3 linked regions of the Macaca fascicularis genome follow. The protein of the gene in region 3 interacts with the protein of the main gene of each other region in a pairwise test. Links are inferred from orthologs where the notes say so. Each region holds a gene or a part of one and is shown on either strand. Other genes may lie near its edges.

Region 1 (7,721 bases), on a different chromosome or scaffold from region 3:
CTCACAGCCCTCTTCAGCCACTTCCTTCACAAGTCCTGAAAGGGTAGGGGTCTCTCCTGGCACAGGGGTCTCTCTGTGGGAGACCTTGCGTCTGGGGGCCATAGCTGAGACAGAAAGCCTTCCCTGCACATCTTCTGTTTCCTGAACGGTGGCTCAGTGTCATGAAGCCCCTGGCTTAGAATGGAGAAGGAGGAGACAGAGAGTGGCTCCAAAAGGAAAAGTTCCTCACTGGGTGGGACTTTTGCAGGGGAGCAGACCAGAGGCAAAGCCCTGGGTTTTGTTGGAGGAGGAGAGAACACTGGCCATTTCACCCGTGGCCTATACAGGGCTGCGCTGATGACCCACCACCTGCAATAGGGGCACAGCCTCTGTGACTTTGGAGGTATTTGGAAAGGCAGTCTCACTTCCTAGTTGGGCCTGCCTTCCTCTTCCTGTGAGGACTCTGCAGATTTCAGAGGTCAGGAGGTCTGGGATAGGGCTGCAGGGCCAAGGAGAGATGGCTATGCCCCACCCTGAGCTGCCACCCTCACTTGCTCCAGTGGGCAGTCCCCTCACCATGGAAGTGGTGCTCCACCCTGATCGCCTTGGACATCTGCGCCTCCCAGGCTGTTGGGAGGTCAGGCATGGGAATCTGAACTATGAGTCATCAACAACTCAGTGGACTACAGATTTAAAAAATAATCAAGCATTTCACACCCATCGGATTAGCAGAAAATTATAAAGTCTGACGCTACCAAGTGATGAGGAACAATGGCGACTTTCATGTGCTGCTGGTGGGGGCCGGGGAAGGTCCAGGTTTAGCCTGAAGCTTAAACAATTGGGGGGACTATCTTTACAAAAGAATACAAAATTAGGCAGAGTCTTGGAAGGGGCATGAGTAAGGAGGGGTCTTGAACTTAGTTAAACATCATCGGCTTCCCAGTAAATCTGCTCCTGGGGTGTGTAAATTGGAATTACTCTTTTGGATGGCAATGTGGTAACATCTGGGAAAATGACAATGTGCATATCCCCTGTGACCCAACAAGTCACATCCTCCACGTGTTTATGGGAGAAATTTCCAACAGGTAACTACAGAGGCAAATATGAGAATGTTCTTGGCAATGCTGTCTGCAGTAGCTAAAGGCAGCAAATTGGAACTATCCCAAGTGTCTATTAACAGAAGACTGGATAAACAAAGTCAACATGTATAAATCTCAGAACATAATGTTGCCTGGAAAGCATGTTGCAGAAGGATATGTACGGTACGCTGGCATTTTCATAAAGTGTGAAAACGTAAAACAATGCCATGTGTAGGTCATATGTGTGCAGTGAAAGTCTAGACTGTGCTTGGAAGTGAACACCACATTCAGCTTACAGGTGGCCTTGAGGATGGAGGGAGAGAGAGAATAAGATAACAGAAGGATGTCTAGGGGGCTTAGATGCCATCTGAAAGCTTCATTTCCTTAATACATAAAAGCAAACAAGGCAAAATATTAAGATTTGACAAAGTTGGGCAATAATTATATAGGTGTCTGTTAAAGTATTATATATATTCTGTGATATTTGAAATATTTCTATTTTTGTTTTTTAAACTTGAGCGAAATTAACATATCATCAAACCAATCATTTTAAGTTGACAGTTCAGTGGCATTTAGTGCATTCATGGTATTGTGCACCCACCAACTCAATCTAATTCCAAAGCATTTGCATTACCCCCCAAAAGGAAACCCCATAGCCATTAAACAATTGCTCCCCTCGGTGCCTGGTTAACCACCAGGGTTTGTGTTCTGTCTCTACAGATTTATCTATTCCAGATATTTTATATAAATGGAATCATACACTATATGACCTTTTGTGCCTGGTATCTTTCGCTTAGCATAGAGTTTTCAAGGTTTATCAACTTTGTAGCACGTATCAGTACTTCGTTCCTTGCTATGGCCAGGTCGTATCCATCATTTGGGTGTGTCGCACTTTGTTATTTAGTTCATTGCTGATGGCCACTGGGCTGTGTGTTATTGTGAAGAGTGCTGCTATGAACATGGATGTGCCAATACTAAAGTCCCTGCTTTGAATCCTTTGGTTATATACCCAGGAGTGGAATTGCTGGGTCAGAGGGTCATTTTCTGAGGGAACACCAAACTGTTTTCCACAGTGACTGAACCATTCACATTCCCACCAGCGACATACAAGGGTTCCAATTTCTCCACACCCAATACTTGACGTTTTCCATTTTTTGGATGCTAGCCAGCCTAATGGGTGTGAAGTGGTATCTCATTGTGATTTCTTTCTTTCTATTTATTTATTTAATTTATTTACTTATTTATGTATTTTTTAAGACCAAGTCTCACTCTGTTGCCCAGGCTGGAGTGCAGCAGCGTGATCTTATTGCAACCTCTGCCTCCCAGGTTCAAGCGATGCTCATGCCTCAGCCTGCTGAGTAGCTGGGACTACAGGCATGAGCCACCACGCCTGGCTAAGTTTTTTTAAAAAATTTTTTTATTTTTAGTAGAGACATCGGTCAGTCTGGTCTCGAACTCCTGACCTCAGGCGATCCACCCACCTCAGCCTCCCAAAGTGCTGGGATTACAGGCGTGAGCCACCGCACCTGGCCTCATTGTGGTTTCAATTTTGTTTTCCTAATGCCTGATGATGTTAAGCATCTTTTTATGTCCATATTGGCCATTTGTATATCTTCTTTGTAGAAACCTCTGTTCAAGTCCGTTGCTCATTTTCTAATTGGGTTGTCTTTTTGTTAAGTTGTAATATTCCATAATTAAAAAAAATACCTCCCCCGGGGTGGCCAGCGCCTTCTCAGGCCGTTTAATTCCGCATTCCTTCCACACATCAAATATATACAGCTTCATATTTACAGTCCACACAGAGGAGAACTGAGAGGCTTGGGGCCAGCTTTCTCCTCTTCTCTCCCAGGCACCTGCTAGCCCACCCCTAATCTAGAGCATGAGGAAGACGCCTGGAGGTGACTGTGCGTTGCGGGTCTCCTGGGAAGTGAGGAAGGGAGGTGGGGAACAGGGGTGAGGTGGAGAAGTGACTTTCTAAGTCAGCTGAGAGAAGCGTTCTGGGCGAGGGGGAGTTGTTTGTTCTGGAAGCCCCGTATGGGCAGGCCACAGAGCCACGCTGGCGCTGTCGGAGCAAGCTGCCAGTAGTAGACGGTTCCAAGGTTTCCCACACCCCTGTAGTCTCTGCAGCATTGGTGGGTTGGGTGGGAGCCTCCGGTCACCTTTCCCGCAGATGAGATCGCCCCGTCTCACTGGACTGTTCCTACTCTCAGGGGCACTCCCTCTTGTATGTTGAAGACCAGCGCGGGGCTGGCTCTCTGTGAATGGTGGGGCTGCGTTCATTGGCGTCCCGGGTTTCCTCTAAATGTAACTGCTTTGATTCCGCCTATCCCTAGGATTTAAAGTCACCGGTTCCACCCAGGTTGGGGTTCGACTCGACTTTCACCCCAAGTTCAATGATAGTCCTGCTCCCAGGCCGCCGCAGCGGCCCCTGCCTAGCCCCTGCCCCCAAGCCCTCCTTGGACGAACTGACCCTCCCCCTCCAATCAGGCAATAACAACCTGGGGTCCAATTTTTAAACAGCCAGGCTCCGACATTTTCTTTCCCCTCCAACTCTCCACGCCTGTGCTTCTGAGGGTGGGGTGCCGGAAAAGGTGTCCCTGAGGCGGCGACGGACCGCACCCACAGAATATACAGGGCACACCCCTCCCAGGTGAGGGCCAGCGGGCCCCGGGGAGTTGAGGCTGAGGGAGGTCACTTCGGCTTCGCGACGCCTTGAGCGCTTATCAGGAGTTCTCAGTAGGAAGCGCTTTCCCGCAGCCTCAGGCAGAGACCGTGCGCGCAAGGCGGGACCGACCGCAGGTGCAGAGGCCCCGGGGCTGCCCAAGGTCAGCCAGGGCACGCGGATAGCTCTCGCCGCCCCCCCAACCCCCGTCTCCTCCACTCCCACCCCACACACGGGGCAGAAGGACTGCGGCCGCGCAAACTAGGGCCTCATTTCCAGATCGAATTGGTCGCAAATACGTCCCCTCGCCAGAAACTGTAAAAGCCCAGAAGAAAATAAACCGGATTCAACTCCCTCTCATCTCCAGATCTCGGTTGGTAACACTAACGTTTCTTTTGCTGATTTTTTTTTTTTTCCGACACTATCTCCCTTCAAAACGCTGCGCACTTCTACCCAACCGCGCAAAGCGCGGCGTGAGCTTCGGCGGCGCCGGGCGCGTCTGGAGGGCCCCGCGCGCAGCTCTGGGACCAGCGCACCAAGAGCCGTCCCCGCCTGACCCGCTGCCAACATCCGACCCCGGTTGGGAACCCGGTTTTTCCTCCATAGTCCTGTAGACTGTTTCCCTCATTCCGTTGGTCTAGAAGGGGACAAACGACCGGAGGTGGGAGGGGGCTTCCCTGGCTTAGTCCCCGCCCTGTCCCTGCTGCCCCGATGCTCCCGGGACCTGCGGAGCTAGCGGATCCAGTCCGAGAGCTGTGCTGGGCGCCCGAGAGAGCGCACGGCTCAGCATCCCCCAGTCCCTTCCCTGGCCAGGAGTCACTCACAAACTCAAAGATGAAGAGCAAGTCGGGGAAGGTGGTGAAGACCGAGAAGCCACTGGGCAGGGTGCTGCCCCCCGACGCCGCTGCGGGGGCCATGAGGGCGTGCTGGCGTGGGCCTCGGGACTGGACGCGCGCCGCTCAGACTGCGCGCAGACCTCTCGCTTGCTCCGCGGAGCCCAGTGGCCTGGGCGCCCCCGCGCGCGGGTTAAGAGCAGGGGAGCCGGAGCAGAGGAGGGAGGAGCCCAGGCCGCCGCCCAGCTCCGCCCCCAGCCCCACGCCCCGGGAGACCCGGCCCGAGCGCCGCGGGCACCGCCCTGAACCTCCTCGAGGGCCCGCTGCGGGCGTGCAGAGCTGGGGACGGTGGACCTGACTCCTGCGTTCCAGCCGTGGGTGGCACCTCTTGTGGGAAGCAGGGCAAAACCACTTTGGTCAGGGGCTCCTCATACCTTTCTCGCTTCGTAGGTGACCAGTATCTCCTAAGAATGTTAACCATCAGTAACCGGGACCCCAAACCCACCAAGGCACCCCTCGGGTCACCATTGCTCTAACTTTGAATTTGGGTCTCCTTCATTTTGCCGCTGGATGCGTTAATGTGCGCGACCCACAGCTCCAGGCGGCGGTTTCCTGGCGGAACGGGACCGCCGCCACAGCCTGGGGGTCTGCAGTGGGGGCTGGGACCAGCCCCGGCCGCCGGCCCGTTCCGCGTACCCCGAGCCGGCGCTGGTTCGGCGCTGGGAACGTGCACCGGGGCCTCTGTACTTGGCGCTGCGCGCCTGCCTGAGGGTAGGAGGTTGCTCCCCAGCCGTGCCGGCCCCAGCAGAAGGCTGCTGGTGGTGGTGCTGGGGCAGGTCTGCCTTGGTTCCATGGGACAGGAAGGGACGTTACCAGAAGAGATTCATCTCTTTCTCTTGGTCTGGGCAGCCCGGGCCTTTGGAGGGTGGGACCGCTGCTACCTCCACCCGCATGTTCTTTGCTGCCTGTTGACTGCCAGTGTTTCCTGTTTTGTTTCTCTGTTTCACTATCTATTACTTTTTGCCTTAAAAAAAAAAAAAAAAACAAAACAAGTATTACTATACAGCAGTTGCCTATTTATTTTAATTTACTATTAATAGTGGATTGCTGTGTTTCCTCCTACAAACACTGAAGCCTGAAATCCGCCCCCGTCCGGATTCTCTCCTGCCAAGAGGGAATTGTCCCCGCAGCCTCCAGCTCAGACTCCCAACCCTTCTTTCTTTTCACTGGCAGCTGCTGCAGGCAGGACAAGGGGCTCCCCTCTCTCCAGTGGGGCCCTCATCTCTCCCTGCTGCACAATTCTTCCTCCTTCCCAGTCCCTAGGGAGAGAAGTACATTCGTGGACGCATTTTCCAAAGAAAAGTAGCGCTCCCATCAGCTGGCCATTCTAAAGCGCCTCTGGAAAGGGGCCAGGCATTTGAAATGAGAAAACCTCGATGTGCCTCTGAGAGCTGCTAGCTCGGATGGCTGCAACCAAGTTCACTGTGTCGGGTCCCCAGGGCAGCATCTCTCTGGGCACAATGGGCTGTGGGACTTCAGAAGCCCAGGTCCTCACCCACCGTGGGCATCTCATAGCTCGCTAGTTGGACCTGCTGGCCTCTGAGAGGACATCTTCTTCCTCCCCAGGAGACCGTCCTGGGAACAAGCCTTAAAGCAAGGTGGCTACAGGAAGCCGCAGCCTGCAGTGGGGGGTGAGATGACCCTCGGGCAGTCCAGCGAAAGCAGCTTGGAAATTTCCCATCAGCACACACTAATTAAAAACAAGAAGATCCTATCAACTCCTAATAATGTCCTTGCCTGGTCTGGAGGGGTTTTGTCTGTAGTTTGGTTTGGTATTTTGCTACTTCTTTCACGCCTCTGTTGCTAACTCTTCCCACTTGGGCCTGAGCCTTTGGGGAAAGCTCACTCCAGGGGCAGCTCAGTCGAGCTCAGCAGTCCCAGCCCTCCTTTGATAAGGCAGAGGGGCGGCAATCTCTGAAAGAGGCTTCAGAGGATGAGGAGGGCAGCCCGGCCAGGGTCAAGCGAGTTTGTCCCTATCTCTGTGACTCCTTCCTTCCACTGGAGTTCTCCGCCTGATGTTCATCTTCATGACTAGACTCTACCCTCAGCAGGGCGTCCTCCAACCACCCCCATCTGCCTCTCTCCTTCCCCACCCTAGCATATCCTCAGCCCCAAGCCGAACCCAACCTCTGGTGAGTGCTCGATGCTGGATGGCTCTAGCCTTGTCTGTGCTTGACCACCAGAGGAGGACATGTAAGTGCCCTGTTTGGATGTAAGAAGCACTGGTAAGGAGTGAGGCACTGGTAATAGAGAGGCTTTGGTAAGTAGAGAGGCATTGGTAAGAGAGAGGCATTGGTGAGAGAGAGGCATTGGTAGGCTTCCCCAGGTGCTCTAGGTCACCTGCTGATGAACGAAAGGCATTGGTGAGAGAGAGAGAGAGAGAGAGAGAGAGAGAGAGAGAGAGAGAGAGAGACATTGGTAAGAGAGAGGCATTGGTGAGTAAAGATGGGCCTGTCTTCATTTCCCAGCACAGCTTCCCCAAGTGCTCTGGGCCACCTGCTGATCAATGTGGTGGTTGATACTTATCAGAAGCCCAGGACCATATTTTGGTTTCCAGCAGGATATGAAAAAATAACTTCAGCCAGTAGTAACTCAGTGAGTGTCCTCAGTCTTCCCAGTGGGTGTGAATAAGAGGGTGGATCTGGGGCTTCTGTCAAATATTAACTTGGCCTTGGGCAGGTTTCCACAAAGTAGGAATTGGAAAGTTGCCATTGCAGAGCCAGCCTGGGGAAGGAAGAGGTTACCTCCAGCTTGTGTGTGTTCAGGGGGAGGGAGGAGATTGTGGGGAGAGGGATGTGTTTAGGGAAAGATTAATGGGGCAGGAGTTGCCCATTCATAATAGCAGGTGCATTGGTTTTTGAGGTAGGTAAGATGACTCCCATTTTACTGATGAGGTAACAGAGGCTCAGAAGTGTTAAGTAGCTGCCCAAGGACACAGAACTGCTGAGCACCTTGAACCTGAGTGACACTGCACCTCTAAAGCTTCGAACCCTCGATGAAAACCCTGCTCAAGATTAGCAATTGCCATTCAAATGCCAGTTCCATGCAGACATCGGCAGCCTCCCAAATCCAGTCTTCATGGTCATCTCAGGCGTGGCCCTGGGCACC
Region 2 (7,467 bases), on a different chromosome or scaffold from region 3:
TGGGAACCCAGATAGGGAAGAGCGGGCCGCGCAGGGAGCCTCCCAGCCAGGCACTCACGCTGACGATCGTGGAGACGAACAGCAGCACCAGCACCGCGACGTGGAGGACGATGATACCCAGCAACAGGAGGAGCATTCTGGCGGCAAGTTCTGCTCAGCGGAGTTTCTGCCTGTGGGGAGAGCGCTGGGCGTGAGGCCGAACGCACTGGGCCGAACGAGGGAGGCGCGCGCAGAGGGAGGGTCCCGCGCACTAGCGTGAGGCCCGGCCTGGCCCAGCGCCCGCAGCCCGCCCGCCCGCCCGCGCGGGTCAGGAGCCTTCGCGCCGCCTGCCGCCGAGAGGGGGCAGCAGCCTCCTGCAGGACCAGCGCCCAGCGTCCAGCGCCCAGCCGGACCCGCCTGCAACGGAACATCTTTGCTTTTAGAAACAAAACAAGCGGTTCGCACGTCTAAAAACACCCAGGGAATAGAGGGGTTTCCAGAAAATATGACCAGAGGCCACTGCACGCTTCCACCCACCCCGAGCGCCTCCCGGAGACCGCCCTGTAAGGGGAGAGGTCCCGTTCTCCGAGACCCCAGTTCAGACTGTGAATTCGCCTACGGGGTGGAGGTAGGGGTGAGGGGAGTAGGCGCCCAGATTTCCGTGATAGACCTGGAGATACCCGTGACATGCGCTGGGAGAGACAGCAGCGAGGAGGCTGGTTTCCCAGACCCCAGTGCTCTCCGCATTCCGTTCGTCTCCAAGTTTCCACCCAATCCTGCCAGCGTAGAGGAACCGTCCTGGCCCCAGCTCAGCCTCGCGCAGACTCTGGCGGCTCCGGAGAGGCGGTGCAGAGCCAGAGGAGTGTGGAAAGGAAAAATGGCTCGGGAGGGTTGCCCGGACCCTGCGCTTCCCGTCCACCGCGCGCTTCCCCAGGCGCGCCCAACTGAGACTCCTGGGGGCAGGGGGCATTCTGCTCCTGCGCTAGACCCGCATGCTCGCCTAGGGGTCCAGTCTGCACCCCAGGCACTCAAAGCCAGGACACGGACCCCATCAAGACTGAGCTCCGGTCTGGGCGCGGTGGGACAGGAGCCCAGGAGCCTGGACCGAAGGGAGTAGATGTCCAGCGGATGGGAAAGAGAGACAGAGTAAAAGGCCGAGTCCGATAATTTCAGCCGGTCAGAGCTGGCAGGCCATCTATCCCAAGTAATGCGGTCCTCGCCCCTCATTTTAGACTTTGGGGGCAGTGAAGGCTGGGATGACTTGTTAGAGGACATGCATGGCTGTGGAAGATCTGACTGAGACTCTGGGGACCATTTCAGGCAGAGTCTTGGGCCAGGGAAACAACGTTTCAATAACCCAGTTTGGAAAGTACCCAATCTCAGGCCCCTCCGTTTCTCTCCACAAGCATCACATTCAAAGACACTGGAATGCGCTGGAAGAAATAAACAAGGATTTCTGATGACTCCCAGAGGGTTTGAATTAAACAGATGGCATGAGGCTGGGAACTGGGGAGCCACAAGAGTCCAGCACTCTCGGGATGTCCGCCACAGGGGCTGTTTTGCCACTGTGTCCCGGAGTCAACGCCTCTTCAGCAAGGCGAAAACTGAGACGCCCTTATGCTCTATCCAGACACCAGCACCATCACCCTTGCCCTGTAAGGTCTTACAGACCATAAAGGCTCCCCTCGTTGTATTACTCCAAGCCCCATTGGAAGGGAACAGGACACACAAGGGACCCTGTGCCCCTAAACAGAAGCTCCAGGGAGCTGGCCAAAGCCCCGCGCCTGCTCTGCGCCTTCTGACACCCTCACTGGAAGATGCCCACATTTCTCCTCCATCTCCTTCACTGTCCCCACCAAATCACTTACAGCCCAAAGGAACAGCTGTCCCGATCCTCAGGGTGGCCTCAAGTACAAACTCGGGTGCGTTGGCTCCGCTGCCGGCGCGGTCAAAGCTGCGCTGCGGGGCTGCGCGCGCGCGAAGCAAGGGGGCAGTGGGAGGCTCCCGGCGTTCCCCTTTAACGGGAACAACGCCCTGTTTGCGTCGCTGCAGTAGGGTGTGTCCCTGGGTCAGCGTGTGCGGGAGGGCGGGACTCAGGGAGGAGAGAGGGCAGGAGAGAGGGAGGGCAGGAGACAGTTAACTTGGCCTTAAATGCGCCTCAGGGAAAAGTCGGTCTCTGCAAAATCGCGGCGACTTTTACTCGAAACCAGAGGCGGCCGAGCTTTCTCACCTCCCACCTCCCTCCTCCCCCGGCCCCGTGGAGATCATGGAAACCTAGTGTTGACCGAGAAACTGGCTCCTCAGCCCACCCTGGGAAGACTCAGCCAAATGTAGCTCAGCGGATGCCCAAGGATGGGTTTCGGGGCGCGCCGACGCCGACCGCGGCCGCGCGGGGCTGAGGTTGGATTCCACTCCCATTAACAGAGGGCAGCGGGCGCTTGAGCGCTGAAGGAAGTCCCTCTCTTCTCGGGTCCTGGAGCCCCTGCCCTGTCCTGGCGTCTTAGCCGGGCACACCTGCACCTCGTCGGTCCCCGCTATTACTGTCTGCACCTACCAAGCATGCCGGCTTCCTAGGATTGGCAGGGATTGATCTAGCGGGCTCTGCTTGAGTGCGAATTAGGGAAAGAAAAGTCCGGCGACTACCGGATAGCGTGGTCTGGGATTGGGCTCCTCCTAGCCTGGGCAAAACCAGACTACCACCGAATAAGCTCAGGCAAAGTGTTCCTGCAGCAGTCGGGCTTGGCTGTCGGCCTTGGCTGGCGTCCTGGCCATGGGGTTTAGGGGGCGGGTGCGAGGTGGCCATTTGAGGTGGGGTTGGAGCAGCCAAGGAAATCAGCTGATTCATAGCCTCCTAACGTGACCCGCCCAGCGTTACAGGGAGAGAGGCTAGCCCTTCAGTCTCCGCTTGGCAGAGGCGCGCCCAACTGAGACTCCCGTGCGCAGGCCAGCCTTGATGCACAGGACGGGGAGCAGGAATGTGGATGTTAAAGGTCTTTGCCTGAAAATGCAGCAGTTCGCGCGCGCACACACACACACACACTTCCCTACCTCTAGTGTACTGTGTCATAGAAGCTCATCCCTCTCAATGATTCAAATAATTCTATATTAATTTACAATTTGAAAGGAGCTGCTACTTTAGCTAATTGTATATTCTTACTGTAAGTAAAAATAAATTTGAAAAAGTCTTCAAACGGTGATCTTTTTAAAACTCTCATGTTATCAGATTAAAATGAAGTGTACTTGTAAATTGTATTTACAGTTCCCATTACACGCCAGGCACTTTGCCTGGACTTTTGTATGCATGGTCTGTGAGAGGCAGTGGTTAGGCATTCTGTCTCTGGGCTCCAACAAACCTAATCACCTTGCTTACTTTTGTTGTGAGTTTGGACAATTTCTGAAGTTCAGTGAGCTTCAGTTTTCTCAGATGCAAAAGGAACTAGTAATGCCTGCTTTAAAGGTTTATGGTGATGATTGAAGGAGACAATATGTACAAAGCAGTTAACATCGTGTCTGCAACATAATAAGGGCCCAGTGCCCAAATTGCCACCACTATTGTTATATCACATTTAACTCTCACATCAACTCTTCAGGGAAGACCTGACCACCTCTGCATGAAAGTAGCTTGTAACTCTGATAGGTAGGTCGATCGATCGATCGATAGACAGGTAGATCGATAGATTGATAGATATTTATAAATGAAAGTGCATAGGCAAGTAGAAAAAAAATGTCTAAAGACCTGGAAGTGTTTTCTTTCCTCCATGGGTCATTTTATAGGTTAGATTTGCTCTAGAAATTATTACTTTGTTTTATGCTGTTTGGACATTTATTTATTTAACCAACATTTTTGTGATTACTACATACTCAGGACAGTTCTAAGTAAGCACTTTACAAATATTAGCAAATCTAACTCAGGATTTTCTTTCCCTTCCTTTGTGATTTTCAAATAAACTTTTTAATAAAGTCTAATACACATACAAAAAAAAGTGTACATATTGGGTGTTACAGGTCGCTTCTTCCTTTCTTTTGAACCCAATAGTTTAATCAATAACCACCCAGGTCACAGCGACACCATACGCTGCCAGACAGGTAAACCCAACCCATCTGTCCCTCACTGCCTCTGGTCTCCTGCCTGGCTCTCAATGGTGGGAGAGGAAATGCTACTCAGTGCCTGCTGACCAGGCTTGCCACACCCAGAGCCCGGCTGGTCAAGGCTCTGCCACAGGTGGCAGCTTCTCCCTAACCTGCTTACCAAGGCCGCCTGCCGGGTGTGTGTGAACAGCTATTTTCCATGGGGGAAGAAGCATCTAGATTCCTTTCTTCCTTTCAATCTGGATGCATTAGGGTTTCTAGATGCTCTCAGATGGCCCCCCACCTCCCCAGCCAGAGTGTATATCCACCTCTTAACCAAGGATATAAAAAACCCCCTGAATGTCCAGTCAATTCCAACACAAATGCACCATCTCTCCTGCAATCCTTTTCATTTGCAGCTTGCAGGGGGTGGGGAATTAGGCAATTCTTGTAAAGCATAGGCATGCATCACCCAGAGGCACAGGTTGCCAATAAAACTCACCCAGCCAAACAGCGTAACCCCTTCTTCCAAGCGGATTTCTTTGCAGTCAAATGCAAGGGATGCTGAGGCAAGGCCCTCCCCACAGGACAGCCAGAGACCCGCAGTCGACAGACTAAGCCTGCAGCTTCCAACCAGGCTCCCTGAGATGTTCCCTGGTGGTGCTCCCTGTAACTGAAGCCAGACCAGGCGTCTTTCCAGTTTATTCAGGGGCTGGTCCAATGCTGGGATATGTCATGGTGGCCTGAGAGGTTCTCAGCCTCTATTATTTAAAGAGACAGTGTCCAACTTTGTGTGCTTTCCAGAATACAGTAATCCCAAGAGGCCCTGCAGGGCATGGGGAAACTGGAATCAGAAGGGAGAAGAGCTTTGAGTATGCCTGAAGTCTGTGATGCCAAGGCTGTTCTCTCTGGAAGTGCCAACCTGTGTAATACCCAAGAGGCCCCACTGGCTCCCCTCCCCTCCCAGTGAATTTTGCAGAGATTAAATATACTCTGTGAAGGATCTGTGTCTACAGTGTTACGTATGTGCAGGTAAGTTTTATTTTAAATAAACATCATTTTAAGGGGCCCAAACATTGCACAGCTAATCTCTCACAGCATCACAGCAGTGAGCCAAATGTCTCAGGAGTCACCAAATCAAGCCTGCTTTGCTCCAATCCCTGGTTGGAAAGACTCTCTGTTGCCTGCTCTGTCTGCCTAGACCCCATCGCAAACGATCACATGTGTTGTACATTAGAATAAAACTTAGGGAAATGGGTTCTTCCGACTCTGTCTTTAATGTGCCCTCATCAAGCTGACCTTCATGAGATAATTCAGTGTAAGTAAACGAACCTCTACTGAAAGCTTTCTAACCTGTCAGGCAGGATAGGCTGGAAGCGCAATTGGAAATTCTTGGAGAGGGAGGTAAAGGAAGTTATGGCATTTTTAGGTTCTTTGAAGCGTACCCACTCCAGCTCCCAGAGAGTCCTCCATCCCTTGAACCGCTTCTAGCTGCAAGCTCCAACACAAGGGGACTGGTTTCATTGCATGAGTTTCCTGCAATTCTGGTACTCGTGGCATAAGACTTCCTCTTGTGTCAGGGATCCCCAGTCTGGAGAGACCTGCAGAGTTTGGAGAAGTCCCTCCCTGTCACACACTTTATGTGTGGTTGGACTCTCCGGTCACAAGGGCCTCTCAATGGCCCTCTCTCCTGTTCTGCCCACAGCCAGCATCTGCTCACAGTCACCATCACAGCCAGCGCCGATGAAACAGTTTCACCTTTCTCTCTTGGCTGAAATCATTTTTATTTTTCCCAGCAGTGGTTCTTTAGAATCACTCAAGAGCTTTGTGAATGACCTAGCCTGGGCCATGCTCAGAGAAGCTGACTCAGGTGGTGTGGGATGGGGCTCAGGTATGGGTAATTTCCAGTGTCTCTCTCCCCACTGGATGTTTGGTTATCCAGCCAGGTTGCCATGTGGGGTTAGATTGTCCCTGATTTCCTTCCAGCTCCCTTCTGTTGTGGAACCCAAATGGAGATGAGGTGCAGTGTGGGCTGCTGCAGGATTATGCAAGTTATAGGTCAGTTTTGCCAGGCAAAACAGGTGTGTGTGTGTGTGTGTGTGTGTGTGTGAGAGAGAGAGAGAGAGAGAGAGAGAGACAGACAGAGAGACAGAGAGAGAGAGACAGAGAGAGAGAGAAAGAGGAGCCTCCCTCAATCCTCCTCTGACATGGTCTGTACAGGGACCGGGAACAGTGAGCATGGGTTTTTGCAGCCTCTCCAGACAGCCTTTTCCTGGTTACTGCCATGTTCAGGTCCAAAGGCTACATGACAGAGGCTGCTCTCCCTCAGGCCAGGATCAAGCCTGAAGACATCTAAGATTATTTCTGATCTAAGAGCTAAAGATTCCGAGGAAAAGGGGCAGGGCCTAGTGAGTGTGGGGCATGGTTTCTGGCTACATAGGACCAATCTGATCAGCCCTACCTCTCTGCTTCCATGAGCTCCACATTCTGAGACCTGCTCCCTTGGCCTCCTGTCTCTTTTGTCCAGGTCCTCTGGCAGCCAAACCCTAGAGTCCCTGTTGGCTGTCAGCACCAGAGCTGGTTACTGTTGTGTTCCACCGGCCCTGTCTACCAAATGCCAACACACTTGTCTTTACCCATCTGGGCCAGACTCTCTTCCCTTCCCAGAGCCAAGTGAGGAAAATTCCTTCCTGGTCCCCTGTCTCCCATTTCCAATAACCCTGTTGTCAGCCAAATGGGACAATGTCTCTGCAAAGCTGTAGGCAATATCCCACTGAGCCTCTTGCAAAATAAACACATAGAATAGTCGCCAAATAACATTTATTATTATTTACTGTCCTCCCTTCCAGTTATGAAGAGGAAAAATGAGAATCGAGATTATCTGAGGAAACACAGTTGAGTCAATGAGACTGGCTACTTCCAGCACCTGAGTTGTTCTGCTACACCACGCTTCATCGGCTCAGTGGCATCAATCGTCCGCAAGTCCTTGATAATGATGATAATAGGTTATATTTACGTCGTGTTTAGCATATGCCAGGCGCCATCTTCAACATTTTATATGTGTCAAATCACTTAATCCTCACAACTGTATGAAATAGGCACCCCATCATCCTCTTTTAGAAGAGGGAGAAACTGAGGCACAGTGAGATGTTCAGTCACTTTCTCCAGACACACTGCAAAGAAATGATAGGCTGGATTCCAATCAGGCATTCTGGCTACAGATCCCATACTCACAGCCTGGGCTATCTCACATTCTACCGTGCCCCTAATTGTGCCCAGCACGTTCCTAGCATATTTTCTCACCATGCTTCCATAGACGCTATCATTTAATGTCCTATTTGTATGAAAGATATTCTCACTTATACACATTTATGCATTCATGGTTTTTTTTCCATTAAAAAGGCAAGGACATATCCTAAG
Region 3 (7,557 bases):
ATTTTACTTACAGTTGATGACAAGGGAATGCCTTACTCTAATCCTTATTTATGAACATTTATTGCCAAATTTTATAATTTTTCACCCCAAATTTTACTTTTGTACAGCCTAAGATCAAGAAAAAATAAACTGTACAATATTAAAACTTTAAAAATTATTATATACCTTTCTGAGTTCTTGTATTCAGGGAAGAATTGTTGTGCTTCTGTGTCAATGTAGCTAGAAAAATTAAAGTAATCTTTGTAAAAAATTAGCATCTAAATCAATCACAATAATTTTAAGTTTTTGTTTGAAATTTTTTGTGTTAGAGTTAGAATAATATGGAATAAAAATGATTTTAAGAAAAATTTGATAAAGTAATAATGGTTTTTTGGAAAAGTATTTCATAGATCTAAAGAACCAAATTTCACCATCTCATATAGTTCTTATAATTCTTGATTTAACTACTTTCAAAAATTAATTTCTATTTCTCAGTAAGGTTTTTCAGACTCCTATAACATATTTTTGAGTTATGAAATCAAAATATATACATACAATTGCATCAGAAGCGAATACTTTCAACAATTATTCTTTTATTCTTTGACAAATTCTGAATGACCATTCCATATTCAGTCCAAAGACATACATTACAATGAGAATTCTATTCCCTGAAAATATGAAATGTATAGAGGCACATTCAATCATTAACGTGAAAATTCCCCTTGTAATCTTCTAAAATAGACTTACAGGGAATAACAACTATTGTTACCACAGAGGCCATTAAAATAAGACAGATAATTCCCAGGATCCCAGCAATGAGCTTCTCTGGAACTGACGGTAAATCTGCAGGGAGCGAAATGGGAACAGTGCGAAAGGAGAGGTGGACATAGTTGTTTAGAAGATTCAAAAACAATAGAACCTGAATGCACAGGAATCATATGGAGAAACTTGGACCCCAAACCCTCATCTCCCATTGTAATCTTTTTCTCTGAATAATATACCATTGCATTTTCAGTAAAAATAATGCTCATGAATTCTTTGACGAAGACTACACATTTCAACAATAAGTTAAATCAGTCTTCATATTTTATATTGAAATGGCATATCTCAACTTGAAATTCTGATCTTTACAAATAGAAAACATGTGAGCACTCCCTGCTCTTTCCCCACATCCCTGTACCCCAAGCTGCACATCCTAGACTGTTATATTGAGGATCTTTTAAATGCTTTACCTTTGCAGTGATTGGTTTTGTAATTCCCTTGAAAATCCTGCGAAGTTTTTTGAAGGTTTAATTCCGCATAGGTTATTTCCTGTTCAGTTACTAAAATGGAGCTTGTATTGCCCTTAGGTTTTTGCTGCTTCCTCTTTGGGTTTGGGGGCAGATTCAAGTCTGAGTAGATTACTCCTTGGTTATCCATCTCTGCAGTGTGTGATGTCAGGGACTGTACTCTACAATAACCGTAGTTAAGAAGTTAATAAATGGTTTATATACAATATTCCCTAGTGCAGTTAAAAGGGTGAGGTGGAGAACGAGTATTGGAGCTCATTTTGCATTAAAGAATCTAAAGTTCTTTCTCTAATTTTCTTCAAGCCTAAACAAGTTTCTTATGGTAAAATATTTGTTTTAAAAAATATATTTTTGGGTCGGGCGCGGTGGCTAATGCCTGTAATCCCAGCACTTTGGGAAGCCGAGGCGTGCCGATTACAAGGTCAGGTGATCCATACCATCCTGGCTAACACGGTGAAACCCCGTCTCTACTAAAAATACGAAAATTAGCCGGACACGATGTCAGGCGCCTGTAGTCCCAACTCTCAGGAGGCTGAGGCAGGAGAATCGCTTGAACACGGGCGGCAGAGGTTGCAGTGAGCCGAGATCGTGCCACCGCACTCCAGCCTGGGCGACAGAGTGAGACTCTGACTCAAAAAAAAAAAAAAGAGAGAAATTTCTACGTTTGACAAAATATTATTGCTGGGGCAATAAGAAGCAATAAATTACTAAGGAATAAAAAGTTCAGGAATAAAAATACATTTCTTAAAGTCTGATGCTTTACCTGTATTAAAAATTAAAATGTATTAGAAAAAGTTCTGCACTCATTTTTATGTTAATTTTGAAATCCAGTAATGGTTAAGACGATGTGGTCTGCACATGAGTAATAGTAAAGTTGAGATATATACACACACACACATATATATAAATTTCTTGCACTAAATTACTTTTATTTAGTAATTTATATACATTAATGAAAATCAATAGGGGTAATTAAATGGTCTTTTCTTAATGGTTGAAATGTTCTAAGAAATTATTAAAAATTATTTAAATTACTAAAAATGATTACAAATGTGAATATTTGTACATGTCAGGAAATGCTATATGACACTGTTAACTTATGAATAACCTAAATAGTATTAGGAACACCACATAAATTGTTAATACTTATAGAAGTATTGGTAATTTAATAAGTAATTGGTAATTTATTTCCTGGCTAAATTATGAACCAAAAAATGATAAATAAAAGTATAGGTAATTCATGTTAAAGCACATTTCATTTAAACTTATAGAAAGATTTTACAGTTGTCAAGGTGAGTAAAGGCCACTTTTGTTGTGTAAGTACTTGTAAAATTTCAGATAATGTAATTAAATCATTTAGTCAATGGGCTCTGGAGTGAGTGAGATCTAGAATGAATTCTAGCTTTGACACTTACAATGTGTGACCTTTAAAAAGTTATTCTATGTTTAATAACCCAGTTTGTTAATCTAAGACGGGAATAAGAACATATAAAACGTTGCATGTAAAACATTTACCACTCAACCTGGCACTTAAAGTTCTCAATAAGCATTAGCTATTTTAATTATTATTTTAGTCACAATTGTTATGTTACTGTTTCTGATTCGTGTCAGTTAAAGAATGGAAAATGAATCTTCAGATAAGTCTCCTATATCCGTGTGCTACATCTTTTTTTGCAATATTTTGATAAACTTTAAAAAAGTATTTTGATTGTTTTGTATTACCTTTAGCATTTTATGTACTCTACCTCATTGTGATTTTTATTAAAAATAAAAACTGCTTTTATTTAATCTACATGTCTGAGGAACTGTATTTGGCTTTCATCAATTGATTCATTTATTTTAATAATCTTTAATGGCTAAGCTAAATATAAATTATTATTCAAAGATACATGATGTACTGATTACAAAATACAAAATTAATTGTTCATTATTGTGATGTTAATAGGTTTCACTTAAATTATATTGATCAACAAACCCACTAGGTTTCCACAAACAAGAATTTGAAAACTTTAAGAAATCCTTCAACATATTTCATATGGTTTTTACCCTGAGTTATTCAAATGAAGACAGCAATGTTCTACTTTGATTTTACTGTATATTAATTATACCTCCTTTGTACCATATTGAGCACTTGTAATCACCCACTAAATGAGGTAGGCTAGTAGAGAGTTGGAGAGTAGCAACACATACCTTCTGTCCCCAGAAAGTCACACATCCTTTAGTGGAGAGGCCAGGTTAGTCTCACAAAAAGGCCTGCTATAGCTGGGAAATAAAAGGTGAAATTTAAAGGCATAAATCCAGGACAAGAACAAACAATGCCTACAATCTTCGCAGACTGCCCTGTGAAGGCTCAGAGTGAGTCAAGAGTGGAAAAAGTAGATTTCTCATCAACGTGTTACTAAGGTTTGAACAGGAAATTCTACACATGGGCTATTGTGAAATCAGTTTAATCTCATCACACACCTCCAAAATATAGGATACTCTGGTCTGTTAAAAGTACAAGGTTGACTTTGAAAGTGGGTCATTTAGTTGGTCCATTTTTCAAGCACCTATGAGAATTTTTTTTTCTGTTTTGATCACAAACATTGCCAACCCCCACCTTGTTAAGAGTGCCTTTTAGACTAGATTGCTAAATCTTAACATTGCATACTTCTTTTCTTTATATTATTTTATTATGTCACTTCCATTATAATAGAAAACATTCTAAAACTCATAGTAACATTATCAACTGATAGCTACTGATTTTTTCCTTAATTATTCTGAAAAATTACTGCAGTAATTACTCAGTTGACTGTAGCTGACACAAAAACCATCATTGCCAAAGTTATGTTATTAACTTAGTTCTTAAATTTTTGCATTTAATTTTTAAAAAATAGATTATTTAATCTTCAGATTACCATTGATGAAAATAAATGTATCTTGGAAGGGTAAAATATTAATCAATTTTGAAATATATTAGCATACCAGAGATTGAAATATTAAATAGCTATTCATCATATTCTTCATTTATCCATTCTCCACCATAACAAATTATCTCAACTTCGAAAGAAATATTTAGTTGTAAATGACAAAAACTGAAGGCAGGCTCTGTATCGGGAAAAAGTAATTTTAAAATCTCACTAGGAGAAAAGTCAGCAAATTGGCAGAATAGGTGGTCCCCCACACATATGCCCCAACAGCAACAATAATGTTTCAGCCATCCACAGACAAAAGTGGAGGAAACTCCCTTTGAGGGAGTTTTGGAATTCAAGTAGGAGTTTGTAAAATGCCAGTGGAACCCAAGACCTAGGAGGGTTGCTTTAGAGAATAGATTTGCATCCAAGTGGCAGACTTACCAACAGTGATTCCATCTCCAGACCTGAAAAGAGACCCATCCTCCTGTGGACTTGCCTTCAGCCGCATTAGGACTTCGTCATGCTGCCAAAACCATCTGTCCAGGGGCCCAGGAGGAGACTCAAACACTAGTGTCTCAGGAGGTAGGCATATCAACTGTAGTCTCAATGTAGACCCTGAAACAGCCCTCTAACTTGGCTTTAGCTACTCTCAGCCACAACTTTTGAGATCAGTCTTTCACCCACAGAGACTTCCTGGGAGACATATACATCTGTTCCCCTGGGGCATGCTTGCTGACCTCTGTCCTCTAGAAGATACTAAAATGGCCCTGAATCTCCACTCAAACTCCTCTCAACTGTGGCCTGAGTTAATCACAGGAAATTGCTGTGAGACTCACTCATCTTTGGCAGCAGTACAGGCTTGCTGACTTCAGTTCCATGGTAGTTTCTGAAACAGCCTTGAATCATGACCCTCATCCTTCTCAGCTGTGGGCTGTGAGCAGTCTTGCCAGCTCAGGGATACAGAGGGAGGGCATGTGCATCCATGTCCCGACTGGGAGACCGTTGACCTAGGTTTCACAGCACATCCTGAAATGGGCCAGAAAAGGGGGTTCAACCCTCCTCAGCTATGCTAGAGAGCAGTTTGCCCACACAGGGACCTGGAGAGAGACACCATAAGTGCCCCTAAAGGTACAGACCTTAGTTTTATTTCAGATCTTGAAACAATCCTGTGATCCAGCTCCAGCCCATCTTAACTACAGTCTGAAGCAAGTTTGCCTGCCCAGATACCTGCCAGAAAACACACTCATCCATGACCCCAGAGACAGACATGAAGACACTGGTTTCAGCTATAGACTCCGAGGAAACCTTGTGACTTAGCACTAACTCCTCTCAGCCACAGGTTGAGGAACCCACTCAGAGACCCATGAGCAGCCTTCCCAGAAAACTAGATAAACTCTCCCCCAACTACACACCTAATAATAGACCCACCATCTACAGACCCTGAAGTGGACCCTCATTCCCTCCCCAGCCCTATAGAGTATGATGCTAGAGCCAGTTTGGTCCTCTGAGGGACTAAGGAGGATACAAGCCTGCTAGAAGCCCTAGTAACAGGATCATGAACCAAAGATCCCACTCTGGACCCATAAGCAACCATGTGATCCGGCTGTAACCCCATTCAACCATGACACTGAAGGCAATCTCATCAGCCCAGGACCCTAATAGGAGAAGGTCTTAACCTACCGAAACCAGTCTGTAAAGACTGAAAGAGATGTCTGCTCTTTCAAGTGCACAGACACCAGTACAAGGATAAACAAATAACAAAGCATCAGACATATATGACACCACCAAAGGAAATGAATAAAGCTTTAGCAACTGATTCAAATAAATGGAGATCTATAAGTTTCCTTTAAGATAATTCAAAACAATCATCTTTAAAAATCTCAGTGAGTTGCAAAAGAAGAGAGTACTAAAAACTCTAAAACAAAAATACATGAACAAAATAAGAATTTCATAAAGAAATATAAACCACTAAAAACAACCAAACAAAAATTCTAGAGCTGAAGAACACAATGAAAGAAAGAAATAAGTCAATAAAGAGTTTCAATACCTGACTCAAACACGCAGAAGAATTAGTGAACTCAAAAAAGAGTCATTTAAAATTAACAAATTAGAGTAAAAAAAGAAAAAAGAATAAAAAGTGGCAAATAAAGCATAAGAGACCTTTGAGACACCACCAAGAATATGGTATAGAAAGTATAGAAACTTCAGAAGGAGAAGAGAGAGATAAAAGGTCAAAAATATTTTTTCTTTAAAGACATACTGTCTGGAAACCTTCCTCACTTGGGAAGGATATGGAAATCCAGATTCATGAAGCTCAATGAATCATAAGCAAGATCAGCCCAAAAAACACTATTATGAAGCACAATATAATCACATTGTCAAAAGTCTAAGATAAGAGAATCTTGTGGGGGGTTTTGTTTATTTTTTAGCTTAACGTGATCCCATTTATCCATCTGTGCTTTGGTTTCCTCTGCTTGTGGTGTATTACTCAAAAAATCTTTGGCCAGTCAATTGTCCTTGATAATTTTTCCAATTTTTTTTTCTTTCAATTTTTATTTTTAGATACAGGGAGTACATGTGCTGGTTTGTTACATGAATTTTTCCAATTTTTTTTCTTTCAACTTTTATTTTCAGATACAAGGAGAACATGTGCTGGTTTGTTACATGGGTATATTACACCAGGATAGTGAGTATAATCCAAAGTAGGTAGTTTTCTGAACCATTCTTCCCTACTGTCCTCTCCCCTCTAGTAGTCTGCGGTGACTGTTGTTCCCATATTTTTGTCTAAGTGTGCTCCGTGCTTGGTTTCCACTCATAAGTAAGAACCTTCAGTAGTTGGTTTTCTGTTCCTGCATTGATTTGCTTAGGATTATGGCCTCCAGCTCTGTCCATGTTGCTATAAAGAACATGGTTTTATTCTTTTTTATGGCTGTGTACTAGTCCATGGAGTATATATGCCACATTTTCTTTATGCAATTCATCACTGATGAGCACGTAAGCTGATTCCATATCTTTGCTGTTGTGAATAGTGCTGTGATAAAAACGAGTACATGCATCTTTTTGATATAATGATCTATTTTCATTTGGATATATTCCCAGTAGTGCAATTGAGGGTCAAATCATAGCTCTGTTTGAAGTATTATGAGAAATCTCCAAACTGCTTTCCACAGTGGTTAGTCTAGTTTACATTCCCACCAATAGTGTATTAGCATTTTCTTTTTTCTACAGCCTCACCAGCATCTGTTGTTTTGGGACTTTTAAATAGTGGTCATTCTGACTAGTGTGAGACGGTATCTTATTGTGGTTTTGATTTGCATTTCTCTGATGATTAGTGATGATAAGTGTTTTTTAATACGCTTGTTGGATACTTGTACGTCTTCTTTTAAGGAGTGTCT

Evidence for each region.
Region 1: the proteins of KLRC1 (region 3) and MAL interact in binary tests that used the Homo sapiens proteins (3 or more experiments, as listed by UniProt). The two-hybrid records come from large-scale screens. The link is inferred for Macaca fascicularis from reciprocal best matches to the Homo sapiens genes KLRC1 and MAL.
Region 2: the proteins of KLRC1 (region 3) and PMP22 interact in binary tests that used the Homo sapiens proteins (3 or more experiments, as listed by UniProt). The two-hybrid records come from large-scale screens. The link is inferred for Macaca fascicularis from reciprocal best matches to the Homo sapiens genes KLRC1 and PMP22.

The regions. Positions count from the first base shown.
Region 1 is NC_088387.1:712,577-720,297, reverse strand, and holds the start of MAL (myelin and lymphocyte protein), read right to left. Parts: upstream 4,723-7,721; 5' UTR 4,638-4,722; coding exon 4,545-4,637; intron 1-4,544. UniProt on the Homo sapiens protein: May be involved in vesicular trafficking from the Golgi apparatus to the cell membrane. Plays a role in the maintenance of the myelin sheath, and in axon-glia and glia-glia interactions.
Region 2 is NC_088390.1:15,313,514-15,320,980, forward strand, and holds the start of PMP22 (peripheral myelin protein 22), read right to left. Parts: upstream 4,723-7,467; 5' UTR 4,550-4,722; intron 1,972-4,549; exon of another isoform or gene 1,848-1,971; intron 808-1,847; exon of another isoform or gene 650-807; intron 171-649; 5' UTR 137-170; coding exon 59-136; intron 1-58. UniProt on the Homo sapiens protein: Might be involved in growth regulation, and in myelinization in the peripheral nervous system.
Region 3 is NC_088385.1:10,465,819-10,473,375, reverse strand, and holds the start of KLRC1 (NKG2-A/NKG2-B type II integral membrane protein), read right to left. Parts: upstream 4,977-7,557; 5' UTR 4,604-4,976; intron 3,637-4,603; exon of another isoform or gene 3,531-3,636; 5' UTR 3,459-3,530; intron 1,430-3,458; 5' UTR 1,399-1,429; coding exon 1,212-1,398; intron 823-1,211; coding exon 727-822; intron 220-726; coding exon 166-219; intron 1-165. UniProt on the Homo sapiens protein: Immune inhibitory receptor involved in self-nonself discrimination.